4 linked regions of the Styela clava genome follow. Each later gene encodes a partner of the first gene's protein in a complex. Links are inferred from orthologs where the notes say so. Each region holds a gene or a part of one and is shown in the gene's direction. Other genes may lie near its edges. The genes, in order: THO complex subunit 3-like, THO complex subunit 4-like, THO complex subunit 6 homolog and uncharacterized protein LOC120342097.

Region 1 (6,856 bases):
GTAGTTACTCGCCCTGTCTCGAAACGATATTTGTAATTTCATAGCAGTAAAATTTTATTATGAAGTTATCTTCATGGTTTTCTTATGTTCAAGTTTGACAGAATAGAGATGGAAATAATCCTAAAACGAGTGTTCTACATTCTAATGTCTGTTTATCCTGAGTCTTATTTGCAGCAAACGTAGCTCCAGGTGTCTCAAAATAGAAAACATAAAACTACCGGTACCGGTATTTGAGCATGATATGTGTATGTTCAAATTTAGTAACTATATTGATGGATCAATGGTTTGGCAGTGGCACATCCATGCATCTGGAACTATCAACTGGTTAATGCAGTTGTTCCCAATTTTTTTTGTTCAATTCCTTCTTTGCCCCATTGAGAATTATTTATTCTTCCCTCACTATGCATGTAAACTATTTTTTTTATTCAATGTTAGTGTTATAGGCACGAGTCACACCTTCGTTTTGTATAGTTTAAGTAGTTGATTGTGTGTTCATGAATATGTGTTGTAGTTATAGTAAAAAATATTTGTAATATTACCTCAATACAGAGCAAAATTCTACCTTGAAACGGCAAAATTTCTCTCTTGAGTGCAATTCAGCCCCGGTTGGGTTAAATATCCCCATTTCCAACCTGGACTCGTAGGTGTTCAACCAATTTCCATGGTGTAGGAAACACTTCTATATCGAATATTTTCTATGTCTACCATAGATATTCCGTTGACGTTCCCATTGACAAACAAGTTGTTAATAAAGAGGCAATCAGAGATCCTGCTGGTCGACGAAAAGCGAGGCGAGAAGTTAAATCAAAATTAGAAGAGAGGTTAGTTTTTTTCTTTTCTCTTTTTCACGTTATTTTTCTAGATAAAGGTCTGGTGGCCTGCTTTTTTAATAAGGATACCAACAGAATTATTTGATTATTTTTAACAAACTTTTTAATGCAAATACCGTGGTTCTTAAAGTGGGCGACGCACAAGCACATTTTGTTGGTGCGTCGCAAAACTCTTCTTTGTTTTGTGGAATTGTACCTGTTTTGTGATTGAACATTTTTTTATTTGAACAAGAAATTATAAAAAGAAGATTCGCAAGTAGTCTTTGGATTTCTTCGGATAAAAATTATCATTTCTTGGTTAAAAATTGTTGCGCCATCTCATCCCCTTTGCGACTTCGTATTTATGTGAAGCAGGCTTCTTTACCATGGTTGTAATCTAGACGAAATATAGATCTCGAGCAAATGTTGAAAGGTAAATGCCTGCGGCTCTCACAATTCAACCACAAGCAGTACACCCGTCCCATTAAATGCCATTTCACTGACTTTTGTTATGTTTTGTATGATCGTTTTTTCGAAAAAGGTCTTTAGTAAAAGGTATCAAGATGTTTTATTAGGGAATCGCAACTTGAGCATATTTTTCCAAGAGTGTCCGATACAAAGAAGTTTGAGAACCACCGCTTTAATAGATTTAGCAATTATTACGTGAATGTGGCTTCTGAAGAAGCAGTATATACAGGCTTCAGTACTCCATATTTTTTTGTTTGAATATGGCTCATAAAAAATGAATGATCTGTTGGTTTTAAAGAGTATTTTAAAACATTTTCAATACTATGTACATGTAGTATAAAACTAAATTTTGAATCCGAATTTAACTTTTTTTGAAGCATACAACAGTTCTTTTTTTTTTAAAACTTGAATCTTCATTTGTAAATATTATTACGGATAATTTATACTTTACATATGTCATTAGGCATTAAATTGAGTCCGCAATAATAAATTTTAAAGCAAATTTTCAAGAATTTTACTTGTACTTGCGCTACTTATTCTAGATTTGTGAGCCATATAGTAGTTCATGGCAATAATCAAATTATATTCCCAACATTTATTTACTATAATGATTTTTACCTCACCTTGCTGAGTTCATTGAAGGTCAACATTCGATAAAATTAAACTTTCATAGCGATTAAAATGAAAATTATCAATTCTTTTTATGCCTGATGAAAGTACATTCAAGTCGAAGTCGAAACCTTTGTAAATTTTTGCGATACCTGGATGTCCCAGACACAAGCTATCCTTTCTGCTATGTTTTTGATGTTCATCCCCAAATGGATGGAGATGGAGTTAGGCTATATATTCTGCTTATATCCTATTTAATTGTGATTAAACTTGTATATATTCAATTGTTCCATACATGTTTGGTGATAATATACTGAATTATCATGTATATCTTTCAGATACAAGACCGGCAAGAACAAATGGTTTTTCCAGAAGCTTCGATTTTAAAATACTTACGAAGTTCGAAATATATGTCATAAAACCATTATTGTGTGTTTATTTCGTTGCAACTATCAGAGTTTACGCATTGATCAATGTAAGGCCAGACTGCAGAATAATACGACTTTCAACTTAAAGACGCCTGGGTGGCAAACAAAATGTTGGCCTTTTTCAGGATAAAAAACAAGCTACAAATAGAAATTTAAGTGCCAAATCCACTCTCTACTGACGTAACCTTTGCAAGATAGGTAGTTCATGTTTATCCAGGGCAATGTTATAGTCTCTGAGCTTTTGTGAATTTCATTTGTTGGTTTATTCTGGTCCCACTGACGGGAAGAATGGCAATGCAGAAAGAACAAAATGGCGGTACTAGCATAGTGTGTGTGTCAGGTTCGACAACCAATGTTCCCAGATCTAAATCAACAAATTGGGAGGGAAAGTCTCAAAATCAATGTTATTGATGGTAATTATCGTATGCGAATCAGCCAACTAGCGTCGATTATTAGAGATTAATATTAGAAAATTACCATGTATAAAATGACTCCGGACCTTTGACCCCCGAAAAATTCTACCCATATTTTACCATTGCAAAATGTTCGGGGTTATTTTAAGAGTGTTCTTGCGAGTTGGCGCCAGTAAACTGGGGGTATGTGTTCCAAACCATCATTATGATTCATCGCATACAATACAACAATCTCTTTTTTAAAAGTACCGATAAAAAATTTTAGCCTAGGCTATCAAAGCTATGTCTACACTAATTTTTTTATTACAGCAATTAAATTAAAACTCCTAGGAAGACAGAGTAGTCATTGAATTATCTGATTTATATTTAAGTTTCCGAAAACTAACGAATAGAGTTCAAAAACAAGTTAATGTTTACGATCAGGCTTGAAAATCTGTCCTGAGTGAGAAAAGTATCTGAGCGGATTCGAAAAGGGAGCATTGTTACGTCACTTTGGGCATCTTGCTGATTGACCAATATCTCGAAGTAAACAAGGAAGTTTATTCTCGGGGAAAGGTCCATATATTGCTGCGAGCGTTTCCACTACTCTTCGAAAATTTCTCGTTGAATTTCATTTATTATTTTGCAGCTTTCAATCCATTCATGGTTGTTTATCGGTGCTTGTACACCATCCCCTTATATATCACCACGCAATATGGTGAGAAGGTGTAAGATCAGGCGAACGTGCTGACCATCTTATATCACAATGCAAAAAAATGGAATGCCTTCGAAAGATTCCTGCCTGAACATTCATTGATGTTTGCCATATAGAGTAATCATAACATTGCATTTTCTATAATATTCTTAAGTCTTGGCAAGGAAACGTTTTGCAGCTTCTGCGCATAACAAGCTGGAGTAAGTAAATCGTATTTGTCTCCCCCAAAAGGTAAGGACGCCAAATTCACAACTACGTTCCGTTCTCTCTCGCTATGAAGCTTTCTAGGTTTACAATATGACACTTGCCCAGTAACGAAAAATTTGTTTATTGACAAAACCAGATATATAAAAGTAAGCTTTTTACTAATGGAACATTTTGAGTGAAAACATTCCACAATAAATGCACGGTGTTTACTTGTACATTAGTATTTATTGACGGTCCAATTCATAACTATTCATGCATCAAAGCTTTTAACAAATCATTCATTATTATAATCTTCAAAAAACAAAAACTGTTTATTAACTACATAAATTTACTTAAACTAGGTGAATACCTACAGCAGCAATGAAATAGTAATAATTTAAAGTGAAAGAGTGTTTTTGCCTCGTATTTTTAATGTAAATCTGATAAATATAAAATGATTTATTCAGTAAATCTTCTGTGTTGGTATAATAATACCGGGTTAAATTGAAATTAAAATTGATCAGTTGCGACTTGCTAAAAATTAAAGCTCGCGCGCCACGTTAAAAATGGATTTCACGAAGAAAATGCAGCAATATTTTAAATTACACGATCGACAAAAAGAATATGGTGCTCATACATCGAAAGTCCATTCTGTTGCTTGGAACTGTGACGGAAGAAGACTTGCTTCTGGATCTTTCGATCAAACTGCCAGTGTTTTTACTCTGGATAAAGACAGGCTGGTTTGTAAAAGTTTTACGTGCATATTGTATCAGACAATGCTGTATAATGGTATCTTGGTATTGTGAAAATGGGGGGGGGGATTTCCCAGAAACCAGGTTTCTCGTGGGAAAATGCGATATAAAATAAATAGAAAACTTTCATTATAACATAGTCTGTTGCTATTTCTTCAGTATTTTCAATATTCTAGATGTGAACCTGTTTGAGAAATTGATACAATAACATGTTAAATACCTTTCTTGCAACCATTCTGCCATTAGTTAAGACGTGAACCACCCTACGACGACGAGGAGTCCAGCAATACTCTCACACATAACTATCCCTGCTTGGGATAGGAACCTGTAAACCCATGCAGATTAATGTATGTATGTTTATTCGTCTCGTAAAAGCAATATAAAAGAGTTAGTAATTATAAATACACAAGACCATACTGGCCTAAAACACAAATGTAAGGCGTACACCCCTTTTGATATAAATAATTTATGAATAAATCAAATGTGATGATTGTCTTTTTAATGCACAATGAATGAAAAGACCAAGCTGGATTAGATATGACTATCTCGGAATGAATTGTCCATTTAACAGCAACGATAGATATCTGTAGACTAATATGCATTTTTTTGTGATTTAGTCCAGAGATCAATCATACAAAGGGCACACAGACAGTGTAGATCAGCTTTGTTGGCATCCAAGCCATCCAGATTTATTTGCAACCGCTTCTGGTGATAAAACAGTAAGAATATGGGACGCAAGAAGTGGGAAATGCTCAATAACGATGCAAACAAAAGGTATTGTTTAATTAGCGATTTCAACTTGCTCTCGGGAATCTCACCAAGCCATTTCCCAGAAAGTAGGGATCTGATTTGCTTTAGGAAGCTGTAACCGACCATGGAAACCATCCTACGCAGGGTGATCAGATTTGCGATGGCAAGTGTATTCCTGATCCTTAACACATCGTGCCAACCACTGATTTGAGATATATCTATAATTTAGCTTGACAACATCGATATTGGTATTCCAGGTGAAAACATAAACATATGCTGGAGTCCCAATGGGCAAACAATCGCAGTTGGAAATAAAGAAGATTTGGTGACATTTTTTGATACAAAAACATGGAAAGTAAAGGCATATGAGCAGTTTAAAGTTGAAGTAAGTTTCATGTATTTGTAACTAAGCCAACGTAGTAATGGATATTTTTGTGAAATATTTTTTATTTTATTTGTCCAGGTGAATGAAATTTCTTGGAATAATTCCAATGATCTATTTTTTCTGACGACAGGATTAGGTACTGTTAATATACTAAGGTAAGCAGCATTTATTTCTTTCAAATACATTCCTAAGCACTATTACTAAAATAAGTACTCTTTTAAGTAGGTTTGGGTGAGGGCTCGAGGCCTTTTTTTCAAGCTATATATAAATGAGTGTTAGAGTATCAGTAAAAAGAGTAGATAAGTATTATCGGTATCTGGGGCGAGTGGACGGTGTGGTCATTCAGGCAAGGTCTGGTGCTTTCTCTTCTCTCTCAGAATGGCTTGCTGAAAACAGTGGGCCAGTGCACTAAATATACTTCAGGCATTATTTAACAATTTGTGAAATTAATTTACAGTTATCCTGACCTAAAGCTGATTCAATCGCTTAGTGGACATACAGCCAACTGTATATGCATTGAGTTTGACCCTACAGGTCGCTATTTTGCAACAGGCAGTGCTGATGCATTAGTAAATTTATGGGATGTAACAGAACTTGTTTGTGTGCAGACATTTTCAAGGTAGGTTTTACAAAAAAACTTCAAGCATATACTGCATTTTCAGAGCCACTAAACATTTTCTTAAATATATTTTTGTGCTAGGCTTGACTGGCCTGTTCGAACATTGAGTTTCAGTCATGATGGCAAACTTATAGCTTCGGCATCTGAAGATCATTTCATTGATATTTCTAGCGTAGCAACCGGTGAAAATGTTTGTGAGGTAGGTACTCTGTCTATCATTTACTTGATTCAGACACAGAGTATATGGAGGCGGAAATACTAAACCAAAATCGAAGTCGCTAGGGGCTATTTTTGCCCTATTTGACTGAATATTTTTCTGTTTCTTGGTTTAATTCTTGGGAACACTTGTGGATGACACTGCTCTCTTTTTTTGTTTGCCATGCAGGTCAAATGTGAATCACCAACATTCACCGTAGCGTGGCATCCTAAGCAACTCTTACTCGCATTCGCATGTGATGACAAAGACAAGTATAAACATGATAGAGATGCCGGAACAATTAAATTATTTGGTCTCTCAAGCGAGTCCAACAGTGACAAAAAGTAAGGGTTTGAGAGCTCACCTTCTTTTCGGAAATTAGCAAGCAAGACGATGGGGTAGCGGGAGCGAAGCGTACACTCAACACATATGGATTGACCACCGTGGTCAAAGTATCACGCAACAGTGAATTCATTTGAAATTGGATATTAGAAAAATAATACAAATATAGAAAACATCAGGTCATTCATATAGAATATCGATTTCT
Region 2 (6,795 bases), on another chromosome or scaffold:
TATTATGTACCCTTAATAATACGTGGTTAAATGTATTGAGATACACGGTACATATTCTTGTGTACTCGCTACGACAGCATATCGAAAATTATAAATATCCTTCGCGAATCTTAATATACCCAACGACGTATAGGACTCCAGAGCAGGCTATATGTGGAAATATTTGAGATGGTTTCATTGCATTTGAACCCACGTACATTTGAACCCACGACAATTGGACTTTCATACTATTGCACCTGGAATTTTTTTCACGGATATTTGAACCCATACTAACCCTAACCCATGGATTTTAGCACCCTCATGGATGGATAATACAACAGCGAGAGACGAGACGAAACTGATTTCCATTATTAATCCAATTAGCTTACTTAGATTGCCCAGGCTCGATTACCAATCAACGATATCCTGTGCTTTATCGATCTGAAGTCAAATACAGAAGGGCTTTTCGTGGATGCAACAGCAAGTTTCTCGTTGATGCAAAGTTTGAATAAATATATATAACCCCAAAAAGATAATCTTTTTCACAATAAAAATATAATTTAAAAAAAATAATAATAAAATAATTTTAATAAAAAATGGTTTCTCATCTCTCTTATATATTTATAATTTCGGCATGGTTTTCTGAAATAAGGAAACCTTTTGCGAGTTCAATTGACAATAATAGTCTGATCTTTAAACAGGATAGCTATGCTCAAATTTATGAACACGTCACAAAGTGTCGCTACATTTTTATTCTGACACATAAGTCTAGGGCTGGGCATTTCGAATCGAATATTCGAATCGAATCGAATAGTAAATTATTCGAATCGGTTCAGAGCTAAATTTCGAATCGCCGCCATCTTGTTTTTATCTTTCCGCTAATGGTCGAGGTGAATTCCCCAATTTTTTTTTCCTTGGAGTCATATTTTTCCAACGAAATTCTAACATATGACTATTTTCTGTAGTGAGTCATTGATAAAACGTGTTTGTTATTCTGTGTGAACGCTCAGTAATCTATCTGGGTGATTTAATATATGTCTTCGGTAATTCATGTGTTGGGAGCAGAGGCGTAGCTTAGGGGGGGCAGTGGGGTACATATGCCCCCGGGCGCCAAGGTACAGGGGCGCCAAAATGGGGCTTGCAAAAATTTCACAAGGGTAAAATACAGTCACATGCAAGATCGCACCGGCGGCAGACATCTAGTCTTAGTACATGGCAAACTGCACACTTGGTCAGACCACTTACGACTGCCGACATCATCACGCACATAGCTCGCGCACGGTCAGATTTCCATCGTAATTACATGGCCAAAAAATCTTGCTGGGAAACAAAGCAAAATTTGATTTGGTAACGTTAGGTAACAAAATGCACCGGGTTAATGACGTGGTTCTGTATCGTTAAGTTCTTGCCTGCGCACTCCGATGTAAGTTGATATTAGTTCTGTGCTGGAGACGAACGGAAACATGTTTTGAGTAATACGTGGTTTTGTATTTCGCTGTTGCCAAGTACCGTACTTTGCGGCAGAGTTACATAAAATATATTATACTGTGCTAAAAGACCCCAATGCCGTTTTCGACAATTCGTCGAGATTGCACAGATTTTGCAAATTTCTACGACACGGACATCAATGGCCACGAACTTTTCACCGAAATTGAAGATTGCAGAATGCTGCTCAGTAGCAGAACTGTAGGTCAACCAGAAACTCCTTTGGCTCTTCTTGGTTTTATTGTGTCTTTTGGAGACAACGTTTTACCCAATCTGCGAATTTCTCTACAAATTTTGTTAACAATACCAGTTTCAATTGCAAGCTGTGAACGGTCTTTCAAATTGAAACTAATTTTGTCGTATTCGCGTGCATCAACGGGACAGGATCGTCTCAGTGATTTTGCACTTCTAAATGTTGAAAGAGAAACATTGGAAAAAAACAGATTTTGACGACGTGTTAACCAGTTTACGAAAGTGAAATTGAAAAAATGAATTTATTGTAGACTATGTAAATCATCTTTGACAGTAACTGAGTGGGACATATGCTCTATTTTGTATAGCTTTGCAAAAGGCAAAATAACCTCGGCGAAGGATTTTCGAGTTTTTGCATCTCAGATTCTAGCTTAGCGCTAATAATTTTCAATTTATACTACTGTATAGGAAGGCGTGCACTTGTGAGTCCAATTCACCTTGGTTGACTTTTATATAGGGGTACATTAATGTTTTATTCTTTATATTTAACTTTAGTCTTATTTCGGTGAGTGTGCAGAGCGTGTTATATTGATGAAATACATATTTTTAAACATAAAAAATAATGTAGTTGAAACAGATTAGGGATTGTTTGGTTTTCAGGACTGGTACATATAGTCAAGTTGCAAAATTGCGTATGTCCCCTAGTAATAGACACATTTTTGCCTAAGTCACAGTGCGCTATTATGACGTCACATGACTGCGTCATACAAATTAACTTAAATCCGGCTACGATCAAAAAGTTTAACTATGGCAAATTAATGAATCTCAATGGCATAGAAATATCATTAGGAAGTTTTTTTACGTTTTTCTCAAAACAGCTAAAAATGACTTACGCAATTCGGTTATTAGCGTGACGATATATAATTTGTTTTTACATATACAATTAAATGCAATAGAAAACATGATTGAACGTGGGGGTCGGGGCGCCAATTTTATATTTTGCCCCGGGCGCAAAATACGCTGGCTACGCCTCTGGTTGGGAGGACCAATTACTATAATAAAATCGCTTACAATTATATATTTTCAAGTATTCGAGATTCGATTCGATTCGAAAAATATTATTCGATTCGATTCTGAAATCACAAGGTATTCGAAAATGCCCAGCCCTACACATAACAAACGAATTTCTTGAAGTTCACAGAAATTTTCAAAATAAGTAAAAGTAATAGCCTTCTTACCAAAAAATAAATTTTTAACCACTGAAAATTTCAAAGCAATTGGTACAGTATTCGAAGAGAAAAGCGATTCCATCATTACTAAGGAGAATAATAATAACAAGAACAACCACATAATATTGAAACGATCGTTATGTACACTGACGTGTCCGATTATGAATGTAGTATTTAGCAATGGCAGTTCGTTTACGTGCTATTAAACACCGATTGTTTTGCAGACTTGAATACGTCCAAAAATATGTTTTGGGTGTTTTAATGGCCGTAGTGGTGAACATAATAAAGTGAAATAAATTTTGTTAAATCCAACGAATCACTGTATGTGATTTTGAGTTACAACAGCAAGCGTACGCTAGGGTCTCAAAAGAATACGCAACATCATATCTCTTAGCGCAAAATATACAACATTTAGAAGCCGATTAACGCCATGAGATTTCTACTTCTAGTGGGTTTACCTATTCGTTATATTTTATCTTGTCAAAAATGTACGTGACAACATTTAATATTGGACATGAGAGACCAGCTAGTCGGCCAAATAAATATATTTTGAATCTCCATAATCATTCATCTTCTAGGAGTATTTGGCTCCAGTATAGGCTATCCCAGGCTGCCAGTTACGGCATTAAGCGCTTGAATCAAAACTAGCGCCTCTTATCGGATTATTACACCTCAAGCTGCAGCGTGCGTGTCGGGTTTTTTTCATTAACACTAGACATAGCACCTTTAATTAGTGAGACACCAAAGCATATATTTTTTTGCGCCACGAATGGTAGAATTACGACGGTTCCTGATACTAATATTTGATAAGTGCAGAGAAGTATTGTCAAGTGACTTCTAATCGATAGAATGCTAACGGCTTTTCCAAAACCTTTTTCTTTTTATTAGCTGGACCAATCAAATCCGTTTCTTGTGGTAGGCTGATACGAGATTATATATGTGTGTGTGGCGTGCTGTTGGATTAGTGAAACGTCGCCGTTGCTCTTGTTTGTTGAGTTTTCACGTTTCACTCCTTTATTGATAATTCAGCGCTATTTCTGAAACGGAGCGGGCATTAGGGGTTCTTGAGCAAGTTTTTACAATGTAGGCTGTAAGCAGGAATACAGAATAAGAAAATCGAATTACCAATGTAGTCTCGTTATTTTCCTGATATTGGAATGGCGGATGGAAAAGGTTTCAAATACCAGAATACAGAGATACTGAAAATTCAAATCTCTCGCTGTCGAGTTCTTTGGTAGTGGATTGTCATCCAACGTAGCAGTTGTCAGCACCTGCCTTCAATCTGTCAATACACAATCGCTGAATCGGTTGATCATTTGGTGGTAAATAAACTTTTGATTCTGGTTGACATCCTGATTTATAATCGGTTTGTCCCTGGAATTATAATGGACTTCCTTTTGTGTTTCAACTGGAGTAATCTAGTGTATCAGCTGGAGTTCTCTTATTTGAAATCACAATTTGATAATGATTTAAAGATGATGTGGTGTACTATGACCACAGTCTGGCGGTGAAATTTTCAATAAAGCTAGAATTTCGGCTTCCATTTTGGTGTTCAGTAGCATTCAGTCACGTATTCTTGGAATATCTGAAGTCTACTTGGCTGCTTGGTGGCAACACACACTAGAACAGCTGGAGTTGCATCAATTTTATCATCTTTCAAATATGAAAATGGAGCAATTTGATCAATTGAGGTTACAATGCCACTTGTTTAATAGCTTTTTATAAGTTGATTCATTTGTTGCACTGCTGTGTGCTTTAAAATTTGTGAGAGATTATTTGAAGAAAGAAAATTTAAAGCCTATCCAATCAAGCAAACCATCAAATATGGGTGACAAAATTGATCTGTCTTTGGATGACATTATTTCTCAAAACAAGAAGGGTAGAGGTGGGCGAAGAGGAGGTAGCGGTGGAGGAAGAGGGCGTTTCGGCGGACGGGGAGGTAATTTATCAACATTCTGACATTTATAATTTCACCAAATGTTCATATATCAGTATGAGAATTTTTGATAACTGATTAATCCACATCTTATACAATCTTAAAGAGCTTACTAACTTGGGACTCTTTTGCTTCAGGAGCCAGAAGAGATGGAAGGAGAGGAGGGGGAGCTGGTGGCGGACGAAGAGGTGGAAGACCTGCACCTTACAAAAGATCGGGAGGTGTGCCCGATGATAAATGGGATCATGACATGTACAGTGGAGGAGGTGGTGCAGGTCCAGTCAGGAGAACTGGTGGTGCCAGGTGTGGTGCATTGTTCCAAATTTTGCGCAAGTCGTTTTGTGTTCATATGTTAATGTTACCTCAAGGGATATTGTATTACTAACTATAATTTATGACCATCTTCTTAAATCTTTATCATGTTTCAGAGGCAATATTGGTGGAACTGGCAAACTTCTGGTGAGCAATTTGGACTTCGGTGTGTCTGATCAAGATATTACAGAGCTATTTTCAGAATTTGGAGCCATGAGGAAATCTGCGATTCATTATGATAAATCAGGTCGTTCAATGGGATCAGCTGATGTTATCTTTGAAAGGAGGGCAGATGCAGTGAAGGTGAATTTTTCAAGATATTTTAATGGTATTGTATCTTGAAGCTACCTATACATAATATGTGCCTGTCATTCAAATTTCATTACATTGAAACCTCACAATATACTTGACTGACCATTAATGATCGTATGTTTTTTTCTGAAGGCAATGCAACAGTACAACGGTGTTCCACTAGATGGACGTGCGATGGAGATCAGACTGGTCGATGGGTCAGGAAATGTGAGCGGTGGTACCAGGGCACAAGGTGGATTAGGTTCTCGTGTTGGCCCAAAAAATCAAGGTAACTCCATAATTCACATTATAATTGAATTAGTGGGTTAGAACAATTATCAGAATGAGTTAGATTTTATCCCCTCCTAGTATCAATATTTGAAAAATGTACAAAAAGCTTGCATATGACATCAAATAATTGATCTTGTATGGAGTTGTACTGGGGATTTTAAAAACAATTTGTTTCTATCATAAATAGGTGGTGGACGTGGCGGCGGAGGAAGACGAGGTGGAGGAGGTGCTGGTCGTGGAAGGGGTAGAGGTGGTGGACGAGGAAGACAGGCAAAAGAGAATGTCTCTGCTGAAGAACTTGATAAACAACTTGATGACTACATTTCTAAAATGGAAACTGAATGAAATTTGTGCAAAAGACTGCCTAAACTGCGAATGACCTGCATTTCAACGCAATCACAGTGATTGTTGTTCCATGCTGCCATGAACACATAATGATGTCGCCGCGCCCATAACTTTATGTATACAATTCTTTCTCATGTGGAGTGTGTGCCGGGATGAGAGATCATGGCAACACTTCGGTTTTTATATTTCATTTTACTGTTTAACAAGGCTAACTTTTTATCAATGAGGTGTCTGCTGCAATAACTGTTAGGTTTGGTATACAAGATTTGGAGTAAAATGACAGAATGGTGGGCGTTTCTCCATCACCCATATATGAGGTGTATGATTGAATTTTGCCTCACCCTAGCAATTAATTGTACTGTTTAACAAGGCAAACTTTTTATCAATGAGGTGTCTGCCGCAGTAACTGCTAGGGACAGAATGGTGGGCGTTTCTTCATCACTCATATATATGGAGGTGTATGATTGAAGTTTGCCTGGTCTAGAAGCGGGTTGTCATGCCTGCAGCATAAAACTGCCAGCCAAAGTATTCCAACATAGTTGGTAAATAGAGAATGAAAGCAAGTGAATTTAGGAGATCCAGCGATCCAATCGCTTTCAGCGCTGTAATCTGTCACCGGTCAATACATGACATCCTGCTGACCTCTGTGTTTACATGCTGTTTAGGAATAATAAATATTTTTTATTTAAATTGGAATGGTCTCTGTACTATATTTGATCAAAGTTAATATTTCAA
Region 3 (6,832 bases), on another chromosome or scaffold:
CATATAATAATATAGAGTGTATGAAATAATATATTATCTATTTGACTCTGTATTCGTGCTGCAGTTTTACTAGCGTACTGTTTTTCAATTTTCCTTTGTCACCTCTTTTGCGTGAATATTCAACCAAAATTTTAAAAGCGGCATAGTGGCCAGATGAGAAATTATATTTCGAGCAGTCGACTTTATCTGTCAGAAAAGTAACCGGCGACCATATATTATGAAAGGCATTAATACGATTTCTCTTTGGATGGGTGGCACAAATATTGGGTAAAACTATCGTTTTTTAAATTTTTATCATGTGTGGCCAAAAAAGAGTTAGTTACGATTATGGGCGTTCATCGGGATTGACACTTTCCATAGAAACAAGCGCATCTCTGCAGATTCCACAGTCTCGTTTTTTCACTTCTTTGAGCACAGCCTAACCTGTTAAATAATCGCAACTTTCACGAACCCACACGATACCAGTATTGTTCCACTAGCGGTCGGAGACTTACGACCTATCGATCTTCCGCATGTTCCCTTCACTCTGACTTAATAGCGACACCACGTGTTCCATCACTAATTAAATAATACGACATAATCCATCCAAAACCAATAGGCTTTTGGTCCGAGATATGATGAATGCTCATACAATATTTGGAGCAGATTCAATCTCGCTTTCGTAAGATATCGCGTAACATACGGAAGTGTCTAATAGACAAACGAAAATATCGGTCAGAGACCGAAGACTAATCGATCGAAAGTTAGCGTATCCCCCAAAACAAAAACTGCGGTTTCGATCCATCCGTTATGACTCCATAGCGACACCGTGTGTCCCATCACTAATTAATTTATAACTCGCTAATTATACGACATATTTCATCCAAAATCGATAGGCTTCTGGTCCGAGATATAATGAATGCACAAAATTTGGAGCAGATTCAACCTTGCTCGTGAGATATCGCGTAACATATTAAAGTGTCTAACAGATAGACAAACAAACAAATACCTATCAACATACTTACCGATCGAGATCGATAAATAACAAACAGACAAATACCTATCAACATACTTACCAATCGAGATCGATAAGTAATAACTAGGGCTGGGAATGGTTAACCGGTTAACCGATTTCATATGGTTAACGGTTATGATTTATTTTAACCGTTAACTGACATCTCAGGTACAAATCATCTTTATACCGTACAATTTCGTCAAATATGATTACATCATCGCAAATTCATCTTTTGCGGCGTTTAATTCAAAAAAATATTACTAACTGTGTGGGTAAGGAATCAATAAATGTGAAAAATAATGGAAGCACCAAGGTTGCTAATAATGAAAATTTACAATGATGAATTCAGAATCAGTTTTCAGAAATATATTGTTCACGATTTCATTGCAAAATCGGATATTCAATGTCATACAATAAGTGTACAGTTGATGCCGTTTTTCTTTATGATATATATCTCGAAGTAGAATTTGCACATAGAACACTCAAAATTTGTCGGGTTTTCTAAAATATTTCCACATGCCCGAACGACGCTGCCTATATTTTGCAGCATAGGAATCATGAAACTATCTCGATTCGTGAATAATTTTGAGTGATGGCGGGATAAGAACACGTGAAATTGTTTTATAACCATTGTGACGTAACAAACTGAAATTAGAATTATGACGTCAAACATCACGCGGCGGTTAACCGGTTAATTTTACCCGGTTAACGGTCAAAGTGTTTCCCTAAAATTCCCAGCCCTAGTAATAACACATCTTCAGACAAATTGGGGAACGAAACCTGATCAGCGGACTGACGAAGCTAAATCAAACAGAGGCTGCCGCGTTTCGCCGGACACAAAACGGCGTCGGATATGCATCATTGCACTCATTGTTAGCAATTGGGTTATAATAGTCAGTGGTGAGATTCAACAGGTTCGCACCGATTCGTTGTAACATACTTTTGTAACAGAACCGACTGAAAAATATGGCTTTTGTGATGGAACCGGCTGACAAAAAAAAATTGAATCCCACCACTGGTATGTATGTATGTTTGTTTGTCTCGTAAAAGTAACAAACGCATATATAGATTATCATTACTGAAGACGGGATGTATGCACAAGACCATACTGGCCTAAAACACGAACGTGGAGCATGCACCCCGTTTGAAAATTTTTAAAAAGTAGTAAATCGAATACATATAATATGGTCTCTTATACAGACAGTTGTGCAAGAAGTGTGGGTGGGTGTGGTAATAGAGGTAAGGGTGGAGTATACAAAACTGTTTGTACAGGAGTGTTTGTGAGAAAAGACAACATCTATAAATACGACATAACACCACACAAAATGAACTAAATAAATAATACTAAATTTAGAATTTGGACAAAAATACACCCTTGATTGACGGTATCATGGTCATGTTTAAACAAGAGTTAGTGTTCAATATCATGTATATGGTATGGACTACTCAAGTGTGATCGTGACTTTAGTAGACTATGGCTATTCTAGCAAAAAGTTTTGGTGAAATGGGATAAAAATATGTATCAACTTATCTCTATATTTTCTAATCATAAATATAATCAGCAAAGATCTGGATTTATAACAAAGCATTTCCCCAAACTTGTGGTGGTTTCACTTTTGGCAGAACGTTAAAGAGGTTTAGAAGTGCAATGCAAATGAGAATATTAATATATAAATGAATATATATGGTTATAGTCACATTGGTCTAGTCCACCTCTCCATGCATCCATCCAACTTGGCAATTCTGATTGGGCAATTTGGCATATAAGTGACTCCAACTATAATCAACTTCAAATGATAATACCTTTCTATCTAAAGTCTGTACTCTTCAAACCTTACTTGAGGTTTTGTTTGCTTTCCGATTCTATAATCAGTGCTATTTATTTTGTTTTTATCAATCATTTTATCGTCTATTATATTGATTATGGAGTCGAAAAAAATGATAAAAGAATAAGTATAAAGAATTTGAACCAGTTTATAAGCGCTAACTCACGAAAGCACTCTCAAAACAAGAGAGCTATGCTCAAATATGTGGAGACGCAGCGCCACCTAGTGGCAAATGTCGATGACGTCATGGCACACATAAAAAACGAATCCCATGCAGTTCACCGGGATATTTGAAAAATAAAAGTAATACCCTTCTAGCGAAAAATTTAATCTTTGAGTACTGAAAATTCCAAAGCGATTGGTCCGGTAATCAAGAAGAAGAAAAAGAGTACCAGCATAAAATGCAAAACGATCGTTATGAGAGAGAGAGAAAGAATTTATTGCTTTTGTCAAACCAGAAAAACAAAACGATCATAATATATATTCACAAAATAAGAATTCAGAGTTTTCGGTTTATGACTGGGAGAAAACGATACGACCGATAAGGTCATCAGAGTCTGTCCACTAACGTGTCCAATAACAAACAAATTTTGCAGGGGCAGGTACTGTATATGAAGATTTTTTCTGGAAGATTTTTTTTATATATGAGGGCTACTTGTATATTTGCAAAAACTGCCTTTTATTTGTCAGGCTGATTTATTGCTGCTCCCAATAATTTCATCGTTTACCTATTTTAATATTGGGTTTAAGTTTTTAATATGCCACAGTTGTTGTCTTGTTTGAAAGGCTTACTAATAATAGTTATTCAACCTAAATTGCATTTATATATATGACTATTGATCGTATGTTTACCAAAATTGTTTCTTAATTGGGGTATATAATAATTTTTCAGTCACCCATTTGCCAAAAATCTTTCTTGTTGCTTATCGATTTTAATCGGTAAGTATGTTGATGGCTATTTGTCTGTCTGTCTGTTAGATGCACGCGATATCTCACGAAAACGAGATTGAATCTGCTCCAGATTTCTCATGTGCATTCATCATATCTCGGACCAGAACCCTATTGATTTTGGGCGAATTATGTCGTATAATTGGCGAGTTAATAATTAAATAGTGATGGGACACAAGGTGTCACTATGGAGAGCGCTTTTTTGGGGGATCCCCTAACTTTTGATCGATAGTCCTCCGTCTCTGACCGATATTCTCGTTGTAAGGTTGATTCCTCTCTTGAAACAATTGTTTTACATGAGTACCATGTTGTTTATCTCCTATTTATTCGTACATGTAAGGCTGGTTCCTTGCTGATTCGAATAATTGTTATGTGTCCAAATTTACATTTGAGTATAGTAGTCCAATAGCCAAAATTGTTTTTTATTTGTGGGGCTCACTACTCACTTTCAAATAATAGTGTAATAGTTGAAAATTTGCCCAAACTGTTTCATTTCACAAATCTCATCATTTAAAAATTGATTTCACAGGGAAAAAAATTAATTACTTTTATTTACTTCATTTTTATGTTTGTTTTTTTCAAATTTTGTGTCGTGAACTTCAACCATTTTTAATAGCCATATTTTACTGTGAATTTATCAGCGTAAACTTGGAGGGGGCTGACTTCGATGACCGCATGGTCGTTGTCGTATCGCTCCTTCCAGTCTATACCGAAAAAAGCGTACTTTTTTTATAGCCATTATTTATTTGTTATTATGACTGTTTTTTTTTCTGGTTGACTAAATAAATCTCTCTCTCTATCTCTCTGGAGTCGAGGGTGACAGTTATGGAATGAAGCATGGGGATAAATGTCGTGTCTTGGCGTATCCCGCAAGATGGTGCGCAAGATTCGCGGGGAAACTTGATAATTTCAGGATATGAACAAGCCGGGCATGTGGAGAGAATTTAGGTAATTTTCACTCGGAAAGAAGGCGGTGCCGGTACAGAAGACGTATACGGACATGCGATATATATATAAGTTATGAGGAACTAAGGTCTTAACATTAGGCAGTATACTAGTGATACCGGTAATATTCACAATTTGCCCCCGCATGAGCTCATGTCTGCATGTGCCTTACTGCTGTAGTCTACCTTACTGACTCTTCTTCTAATGCTGTAATGTGTCATGCAGTGATCCAATTTGTTGATATACAATTCATATTACAATAAACTTAATTTACCTACTTATTTATATTCGTTTCTTCAGACTATGGATTCAAGACACTTGCTGTGTACAACTGTGTATTCCACTGTATTTTCTCCTTGTGGGAAGTTTGTTGCTGCAGCAAATAATTTTGGACATATATCTCTGTTTAATTTTGAGAAAGCAGTCACACTCAATTCTCTTAAGTGGCAAAAATCAATTATTACATTCAAAGCCCATGATGGCCCAATACATTCACTGGTGTCCACGAAAGACTGCCTCTTAAGTGGAGGAGTTGGGCCAGTGGCAGCTTGGAAATGGAATGATATATTAGAAAGGAAACCGGCAAAAGTTTATACTCTGCATGAACCATCACAAGGAGATGAAGGATCATTTTCTTCAAATGACGTAAATGTTCTTGCTTGCGACGAGACAAAGCTATATGCTGGAAGAGATGACAATGTAGTGTGTATATGGGACTTTAATTCTGGAAAATGTGAACGGATGCTTATTGGACATACAGAATATATTCATGATATTGCAATTATTTCTCCTAATGGCCTTGTTTCTGCATCAGAAGATGGTAGTGTTAAGGTATGCACTTAATAGTAATGTCTGTATATCATGGCATGCATATCATGATTTTTCATTAAAATTCAGGTTATCTATTTTTACCAATTTATGATTTTGAGTCGATAAGTATCTTGAACAAAAGCGACAGTAAGCCATTAAATCAGCCTCACCCTTGACAACATAACCCTTACTACAGCACTATTCCTTTTAAACTTAAACAATGATTGTTTCAGGTTTGGGACCTTCGTATGGCACAGGCGACAACTACAATTGAGCCGCATCAAAACAAAGAGCTAAGTCGGCCACAATATGGAAAATGGATAAGCTCCGTTGCTACAGATGATAATGGGCAGTGGATGGTTTGTGGAGGAGGACCGAAACTATCACTCTGGCATTTGCGATCTCAAAGTCAAACTGCTGTATTGGATTGCCCTGAGTTCACACCATATACAACAGTGTTCCATGAAAACTTCATAGTTTCTGGTGGAAATACAAACTCTGTACACCACTGGTATACCAATGGTGATGAAAAGGCTTCAATTCCTTGTGGCATTGGAACAGTCTTCTCTCTAACGTTCAATAAAAAGAAAAACACAGACAGTGCACCATTGATTGCCGCAGGAACCAGCCACAAACTGGATGTATTTTGTAACCCAAGTTATAGATCACACACATTAAATCTATGATATGCAGATACCTGCATTGCACATTTATTATAAATTTTCACAACGAGTACGTCAGCTTCATTGGCTACAACGATATACATAGGATGCAAACAATAAAAAATGATTGACTGGTAAAATGCCTACTGCAAATCTAAACTGGCTCAATACAGCTTCAGATTGATTAACACTTGACACCAGTCAGTTAGAAGCAACTAAGAATTTCACAGTGGCAACAACCTGATAATAATCATGCGCAAATCAGCTTATTGGCAATCAATGGATTGACAGTTAGTTGAGATTCAGTACTTAACGAGAGGTATACAATAATATTGGATAGCGAAAGTAATAGCAATTATTCTTGAAGGTTTTGTTTATAAGTAAAGCCACCAGAGGAAAAAATATTATATAGAAATCGTGAGTGATTTGCAACTCACTTAGTCCTGTGGCGATGCATCATAATATTAATACTTGATAAATCAATAAACACAATTAACAAAAAGTAAATGAAGTAAATATTATATCGAAATTGTAAGTGAATGATTTGCAATTCTCATTAAGTCATGTTACAAAATGGCAATGTATTATATAATAGTACTTGATATACCAATAAACACAATTTACAATAAGACGATCAAAACGAATGG
Region 4 (5,882 bases), on another chromosome or scaffold:
TTTGGTCGGAAAAAAAAATCTCTCTCTAAATATTTCAATATTGGAAAATATTATAGGGTCAAGGGTTGGGGATATCCGCAATGCTAGCGCTCGTGCTGCAAATTCGACAAATACCGGTACCGTAGTCACTTTGAAATTCGAAAGCTCTGATGCTTAAAATGTTCAACAGTACTCACACCATTTTTAGGATTATTTACCTCGGGGGCGATGCCAGTATAGTTAAAACAAAAATATGAAATGTGAAGATATGAGTAAACTAAGATAATTTTTTATTATACCACACCTAGTACAGTACCGGTAGTATTCGGCCATTGGCAAATATAAAATTTAAATAGTCTACTTCTATCTGTCTATGGTTCAATCTCAGACGGGTGGACCAGCCTGGAGCCATTTGAAGGAAATTTTGTTGAGATTACATGGATAGGTAGGTGGCAAGTGTTGGATTGAGTGAGTGTAGGGATGTAGAATAATTTTCTATTCTAGAATACTTGAATTGAGAATGCTGAATCCCATTCTACAGTTCTATTTTTCTGTTTTTATTGTTATTCAAATGTGAAGATCGTGCCACCACATTCAGACATTGGGTCTGGTATAGTTTAGTACCACATGCACTTCTAGTTGGCCTGGCTCAACTATTTTTGCATATGTCAATCCTAACCCAGTAACCCCTACCTGGCTACGTCACCGAAAAATTACGTCATTTCGACGTCACAGTGGCGTAATAAGGCCCACCAAAGTATGCGGAAGGTAGTCCAAAACGCGCAGACGATCATCCGAAATCGAGCAAGCTATTTCTCTCGTTTTTTCGTCACAACGATCCCGATACCAGAGAGATCGCCGGCGTTAGCGAGTTCGTTATCAGCGGCGCAGATGCCATTTTGGGCGATCGTAATTATACTTTGACAAGCCCTATGAGTATGACGTGATGATGACGTCGTGGTCCAGTCTGGATTTCATGGCCTTTTTGAACGAGAAATCGGGCGTGCAATCAGAAATTCCCGCGTGCAAATAAGAATTCCTGGCGTGCAATTATAGCTCACGACGTGCAAAACAACTGCACTCGCGTGCAACTGACTTTGACATCAGATACCTCTCAATACATCCGCGTAAAATTACCGGTATCGGATAAAAAATACGTTGAATCACAGAAAAAATGGACGTTTGACCTTTGACCCCAAACATTATTTCTACAGTTTGTCGCTAATTTTGAGAGTGTTTGTGCGACTTTGGATACCGGTACTGTTCAGTACATCCGTGTAAAATTATTGGATAAAAAATACGTTGAACCAGAGCAAAATGGACATACTTTGTCATTAATTTTGGTAGTGTATTTACGTAGAATTAATGGATAAAAAATACGTCAAATTAGAGCAAAATGGACGTTTGACCTTTGACCCCAAACATTATTTTCATACTTTGTCACTAATTTTGGGAGTGTTTGAGCAACTTTAAATACCGGTACTGTTCAGTACATTCGTGTAAAATTATTGTATGAAAAATACGCTGAATCAGAGCCGTACTTGGCCATTGGTGCGGAGGCGATCTTTTCGTCCATAACTATTCTCACGGGATTCATATTTCCTATCATTCAACACGATATGGACCTTTCCCCGAGCATCGACTTCCTTGTTTACTTCGTGACATTGGCCAATCAGCAAGATGCAAAAAAGGACGTGAGAGGAATTTTTCGCGGTTCAAAGGTTGGGGAAAGGTCCATGGTCTTTTTGCTTCGCAATATTTCGATCAGACCAAATCTTGCAAGCTGGTATTTGTCGACAATTGTGGAGTTATAATATTTTGGCATCTTTATATTACTGGATTATTGACTTTAAAACCATTTAAACCGATTTACATTGGTGAGCAATTGCAAATTTTCGGCGTGCAAAATTGTTTTCGCTCGCGTGCATTTTTGCGGAGCGCTAGCGCCCTCGGGCGTGCACCTGCCATGGAATCCAGTCTGGGTCGTGGTGACGTAATTTTTGGATGGCATAGTCAGGTGGGGGTTAGGAATAACATATGCAAAATTCGTTATGCTACGCCCACTGGAAGTACTTGTGGTACCAAACTATACTAGACCCCAGACATTGCTGGATTGAAATTTAAGCAAAATTTCAAACATATTACTGTCTTGGTATTTATTGGAAATTACCTGAGCATTGGTTTTTATTTGATACCTAACAGGCATTCCTCAGGACAGCAGGACAATAAAATTCTAGAATTGTTCGAAATTCATGTGATCCCTAGATAGAGAGATACTGATATGCTAAATTAGGACTCGCATTATACATTTTAATAGTAAACTAATAATATTTGATCGAAATTTATCACAAATAATGTTATAACATTTAATGCCTTGCTTTTGGTTCACATCATTTTTTCGAGAGAAATCGTAGGCCGCTAAAAATTGTCTATGTAAAATGGAGTATGGTAATTGGAATAGAGGGTGGCTTACCCACTTTGCGGCCAAGACCTATTTGCGACCATCAACTTCATCGATTAAATTAATGTCGAAAAAATTAACGAACCGAGACGATATTTCTCACGCGTTATCGTCCACTTACCGTATCCCTCGTAGCTCTGCGAAATTACACTAAAATGCGGCCACAAACAAAAAAGTTACTACCGAAAACCCGACCGAGGAAAAAAAACGGACCCTTTTTCCATGTCGCCAACTACCCATTGTCCCTTTGAAAAAGCTTGAAAATCCATACAAATATAAGAGATAAAAAGATGAAACTTGGCAGGTGGGTAGAGTTCTGTTTCTTTCAACCATCTTTAAAGTTTTACGTTTCCACATTCAAAGGAGGGGGAATAGGAGGGTGCGCATTTCCAATACGTCGATAATAGCATTGTCGACCAATTCGCGACCACCGTGTTTTTGTTTGTTTGATTGCTGTAATGCGGTGCTTTATTTATAATTTGACGAGTTTTGTTCGAAATAACCTTGTTCTTAAAATATATGACGGTCAGAAATGCAATTAGAAGCTAATTTTTTTCACGCATGGCTGCGTATGCCCTAGTCTCGACGCAGCAGAAATGATGTTCAAGGCTTGAAATTTGTGGTCGCAAACTGGTCGTTCGGTCGCAAATAGGTCTTCAGAGTGTCGTACTTTGGTCGTAGAAAGTTAATTCGAGGTTTAGCGTGTAGAAGAAATGCCCATGCACCTACTGTGAAAAAATTACCAGGTTAGAAATATTGGTTTTTGTTTCATAGCGGTTTGAATGAAATCGACCGCAGACTGGCTACGCCACCCTATTGCCAGTAAGTTGGCACCAATGATTATTATATGTTCAGATGTTACTTTTATAGTAGAGATGAAAAACGCGAAAATTGTGCATTAATGAGATTTCGTTGTGAGGTTTCATCGTCTACTTATTCTGAATATGTCGGCTGAGATTACCATGTTTGATGTCTGTCACTTTTACGGGCTCTCCGAGAGCAAGTGCAAGTATAATCAAATGAGAGTGATTTTGGCATACATTGATTAATGAATTAGAAAAGTCAGCAGTGATGACATCATGTTTGCAGATGTCATTGATTTATTCATAAAATTACCACATTGTTTTCTTTGCTAAGTTTGCATTATAATCATGGAATCATTGGGAATCTCATTAAATCTCAAATAATTTCAGCCACTTACGGACTTATAATTACTGATACCAATATTGCAAAATTGTTCTGGGAAACGAATCTGGCCTAATCAAAATAATCGAAAAAATGGAGCCTTGCTTAGAATAGCGGCAAAAAATGAAAAAATTTCGCTCTATTTTTTGCAGAAGATTTGTTTATATATATATATAGCCTAATTATTATACTAATTTTATTCATTGCCAGATATTATTGTGTATTTACTTGGACAAGATTTATTTTCTCAATATTTTGCAGAATTGTGTGTACTGTAAGATTTAAAGTTGAATTATTGACCCGCTTGGAATGAGATAGTTTAGTGACGATTAGAGTTTTGTTACTTATTATCCAGTTATTTTTGGCGTATACTCCAGAAGTAGAATGGCGTCCAACCCACCTGCCAAAATCGTTCTCAAAAGCTCAACCAAGGTCAGTCTTAATGACCGTTTTTCTACGATCATGAAAACACAACGAACAACTTCCCAAACTGTGCGAGCTCAAATGTCCAATGAGAGAATGGCAAGTGAAAAGAATCGTCGACTCGCACAACAAATGGAAAGACGGCCAGCAGTTGCTGCTGCGCTTGATAATAAGCCGGTGTCGATTCGTGACAGATTAGGAAGTCCTCCAGCACGAGGAAGACGGGGAATAAGAGGCGGAAGGTTTCAAAGCCGTGGACAGTTCGTTCGAGGTGGTCGTGGTCGTGGAGGGTTTCCCAGTCCTCGCGGCAATTCGTTAAATAGAGGCCGCAATCCAGGAAGACGTGGATTTATTCGTCCTACGAGAACTGGTAGAGGGCGTGGAACGGGTATGAGAGGTAGAGGGCGTGGCATAAGTCGTGGCAGAGGTCGGGGAGGTCGTCAAGGAAGAGGTGGAGCTAATCGACGAGAACCTGCAGACAAAGACAAACTTGATGAACAACTTGACAGTTATATGACTAAAACAAAAGGTGCAATGAATGCTGAGTTGGACAGCTACATGGCCGAAATAAACAATTGAATCCAAGAACAATCATGTGATACTATGGTTTCTTCATTCGAGGGAGGCATCTATGCGCCATCCTTTTTGTAACATTTGTTATTCGAGTTGGTCTAACCACTGCTGTGCGTGTGTGAGTTTCAGAATTTTATATCGATTCAAGGTGGGTTATACCAAATAATCCATTACAAAAAGATGGCTGTCAATAGTCTTGTCTTTTAAATTAGAAAAGCAATAATAATCATTTTTTCTCATCTGGCTATCTACAATCTTGATTACTTGGTATATAGGCAATGTGTAGACATTTGTGTATGGTTTTTTTTGTATTTCTCTGCTGTCCGTATTCTAAATTGATTTTGTAAACAGCAAAACTGTCGCATTCCTATTTTTTTTTGCTAAATTATGGAATTTTTCACCACATAAATGACAGATTTTAGGAACTGTTTTGAAAACTTTTCTGAATTTGAATTAAGTTTTGGGCCAATGTCTAGTTGTCTTTAAATGGAGAAATTGTACAAAATTCTTGTTTCCAAAAATTTGATGATGAATTAGTTTGACACATATTTTATACTACATTTATGTTATTCCATTTCAAGATTTAGACCGATCTTATTTCTGGTTTTCAAAATTTATTGTGCTTCATTTGTTGAAATGCATTTACAATTATTTTTGATAACATGTTTATAGAGGTGATTGGTGGTGGTATATTATTGCTTGTGATAAATGAATGGACAATTGTAATGCATTCGCAATTCATTTTTAGAGTTGTATTTAGAATATTGTATCATTGAGAATACCTAGTTCTTTGAGGTGGAATCGAATCTATCGACATCTGAAATAATGACGAAGTAATCTTGAACATATTTCAGGAGAAGATTGGATGCGGAATTTTGTGACTTGCAATCATTCTTTGGGCTCTGAATATCTTGCTTCAAATACCTGTGGTGGTAATTTATGGAATGCAAGTCCACGGCTTATTTGCTATGATTGATACAGATATTGTTGCATGACATATGAAAACACACACAAACTATTGAGCAATTTGTAAATTGCTATTCATAAGCAAACACTACCACAGGTATAAAGATGTTTGCCCTAAGAAGCTTGTATGAAGATGAGTAAATTATGGACACTAACATTTGAAGTTAATCAACTCCTAGACTGAGGATGCCGTAATGAAGTGAAGAAGAAGAATTTTAAAGTCTTCAACCATTAAAGAGAAATCATGGTTCTGCTGCTATCAATAATAAAATTTCTTTTTATGTGATATTGCATT

The links.
Region 2: THO complex subunit 3-like (region 1) and THO complex subunit 4-like share a complex: the UniProt entries of both Homo sapiens proteins name them as parts of the transcription/export (TREX) complex. The link is inferred for Styela clava from reciprocal best matches to the Homo sapiens genes THOC3 and ALYREF.
Region 3: THO complex subunit 3-like (region 1) and THO complex subunit 6 homolog share a complex: the UniProt entries of both Homo sapiens proteins name them as parts of the transcription/export (TREX) complex. The link is inferred for Styela clava from reciprocal best matches to the Homo sapiens genes THOC3 and THOC6.
Region 4: THO complex subunit 3-like (region 1) and uncharacterized protein LOC120342097 share a complex: the UniProt entries of both Homo sapiens proteins name them as parts of the transcription/export (TREX) complex. The link is inferred for Styela clava from reciprocal best matches to the Homo sapiens genes THOC3 and CHTOP.

The regions. Positions count from the first base shown.
Region 1 is NC_135250.1:23,430,462-23,437,317, reverse strand, and holds THO complex subunit 3-like, read left to right. Parts: upstream 1-3,838; 5' UTR 3,839-4,173; coding exon 4,174-4,347; intron 4,348-4,976; coding exon 4,977-5,133; intron 5,134-5,366; coding exon 5,367-5,494; intron 5,495-5,572; coding exon 5,573-5,649; intron 5,650-5,951; coding exon 5,952-6,113; intron 6,114-6,194; coding exon 6,195-6,312; intron 6,313-6,498; coding exon 6,499-6,657; 3' UTR 6,658-6,806; downstream 6,807-6,856. Other genes in the region: large ribosomal subunit protein eL27-like, read left to right, coding at 711-821, 2,225-2,273; mitochondrial inner membrane protease ATP23 homolog, read right to left, coding at 6,836-6,856. UniProt on the Homo sapiens protein: Component of the THO subcomplex of the TREX complex which is thought to couple mRNA transcription, processing and nuclear export, and which specifically associates with spliced mRNA and not with unspliced pre-mRNA.
Region 2 is NC_135253.1:1,065,847-1,072,641, reverse strand, and holds THO complex subunit 4-like, read left to right. Parts: upstream 1-3,860; 5' UTR 3,861-4,709; coding exon 4,710-4,824; intron 4,825-4,958; coding exon 4,959-5,124; intron 5,125-5,249; coding exon 5,250-5,436; intron 5,437-5,577; coding exon 5,578-5,713; intron 5,714-5,902; coding exon 5,903-6,060; 3' UTR 6,061-6,283; downstream 6,284-6,795. UniProt on the Homo sapiens protein: Functions as an mRNA export adapter; component of the transcription/export (TREX) complex which is thought to couple mRNA transcription, processing and nuclear export, and specifically associates with spliced mRNA and not with unspliced pre-mRNA.
Region 3 is NC_135252.1:9,988,626-9,995,457, forward strand, and holds THO complex subunit 6 homolog, read left to right. Parts: upstream 1-4,558; 5' UTR 4,559-4,716; intron 4,717-5,013; 5' UTR 5,014-5,016; coding exon 5,017-5,544; intron 5,545-5,756; coding exon 5,757-6,209; 3' UTR 6,210-6,325; downstream 6,326-6,832. UniProt on the Homo sapiens protein: Component of the THO subcomplex of the TREX complex which is thought to couple mRNA transcription, processing and nuclear export, and which specifically associates with spliced mRNA and not with unspliced pre-mRNA.
Region 4 is NC_135252.1:15,318,177-15,324,058, reverse strand, and holds uncharacterized protein LOC120342097, read left to right. Parts: upstream 1-3,855; 5' UTR 3,856-4,009; coding exon 4,010-4,627; 3' UTR 4,628-5,370; downstream 5,371-5,882. UniProt on the Homo sapiens protein: Plays an important role in the ligand-dependent activation of estrogen receptor target genes. May play a role in the silencing of fetal globin genes.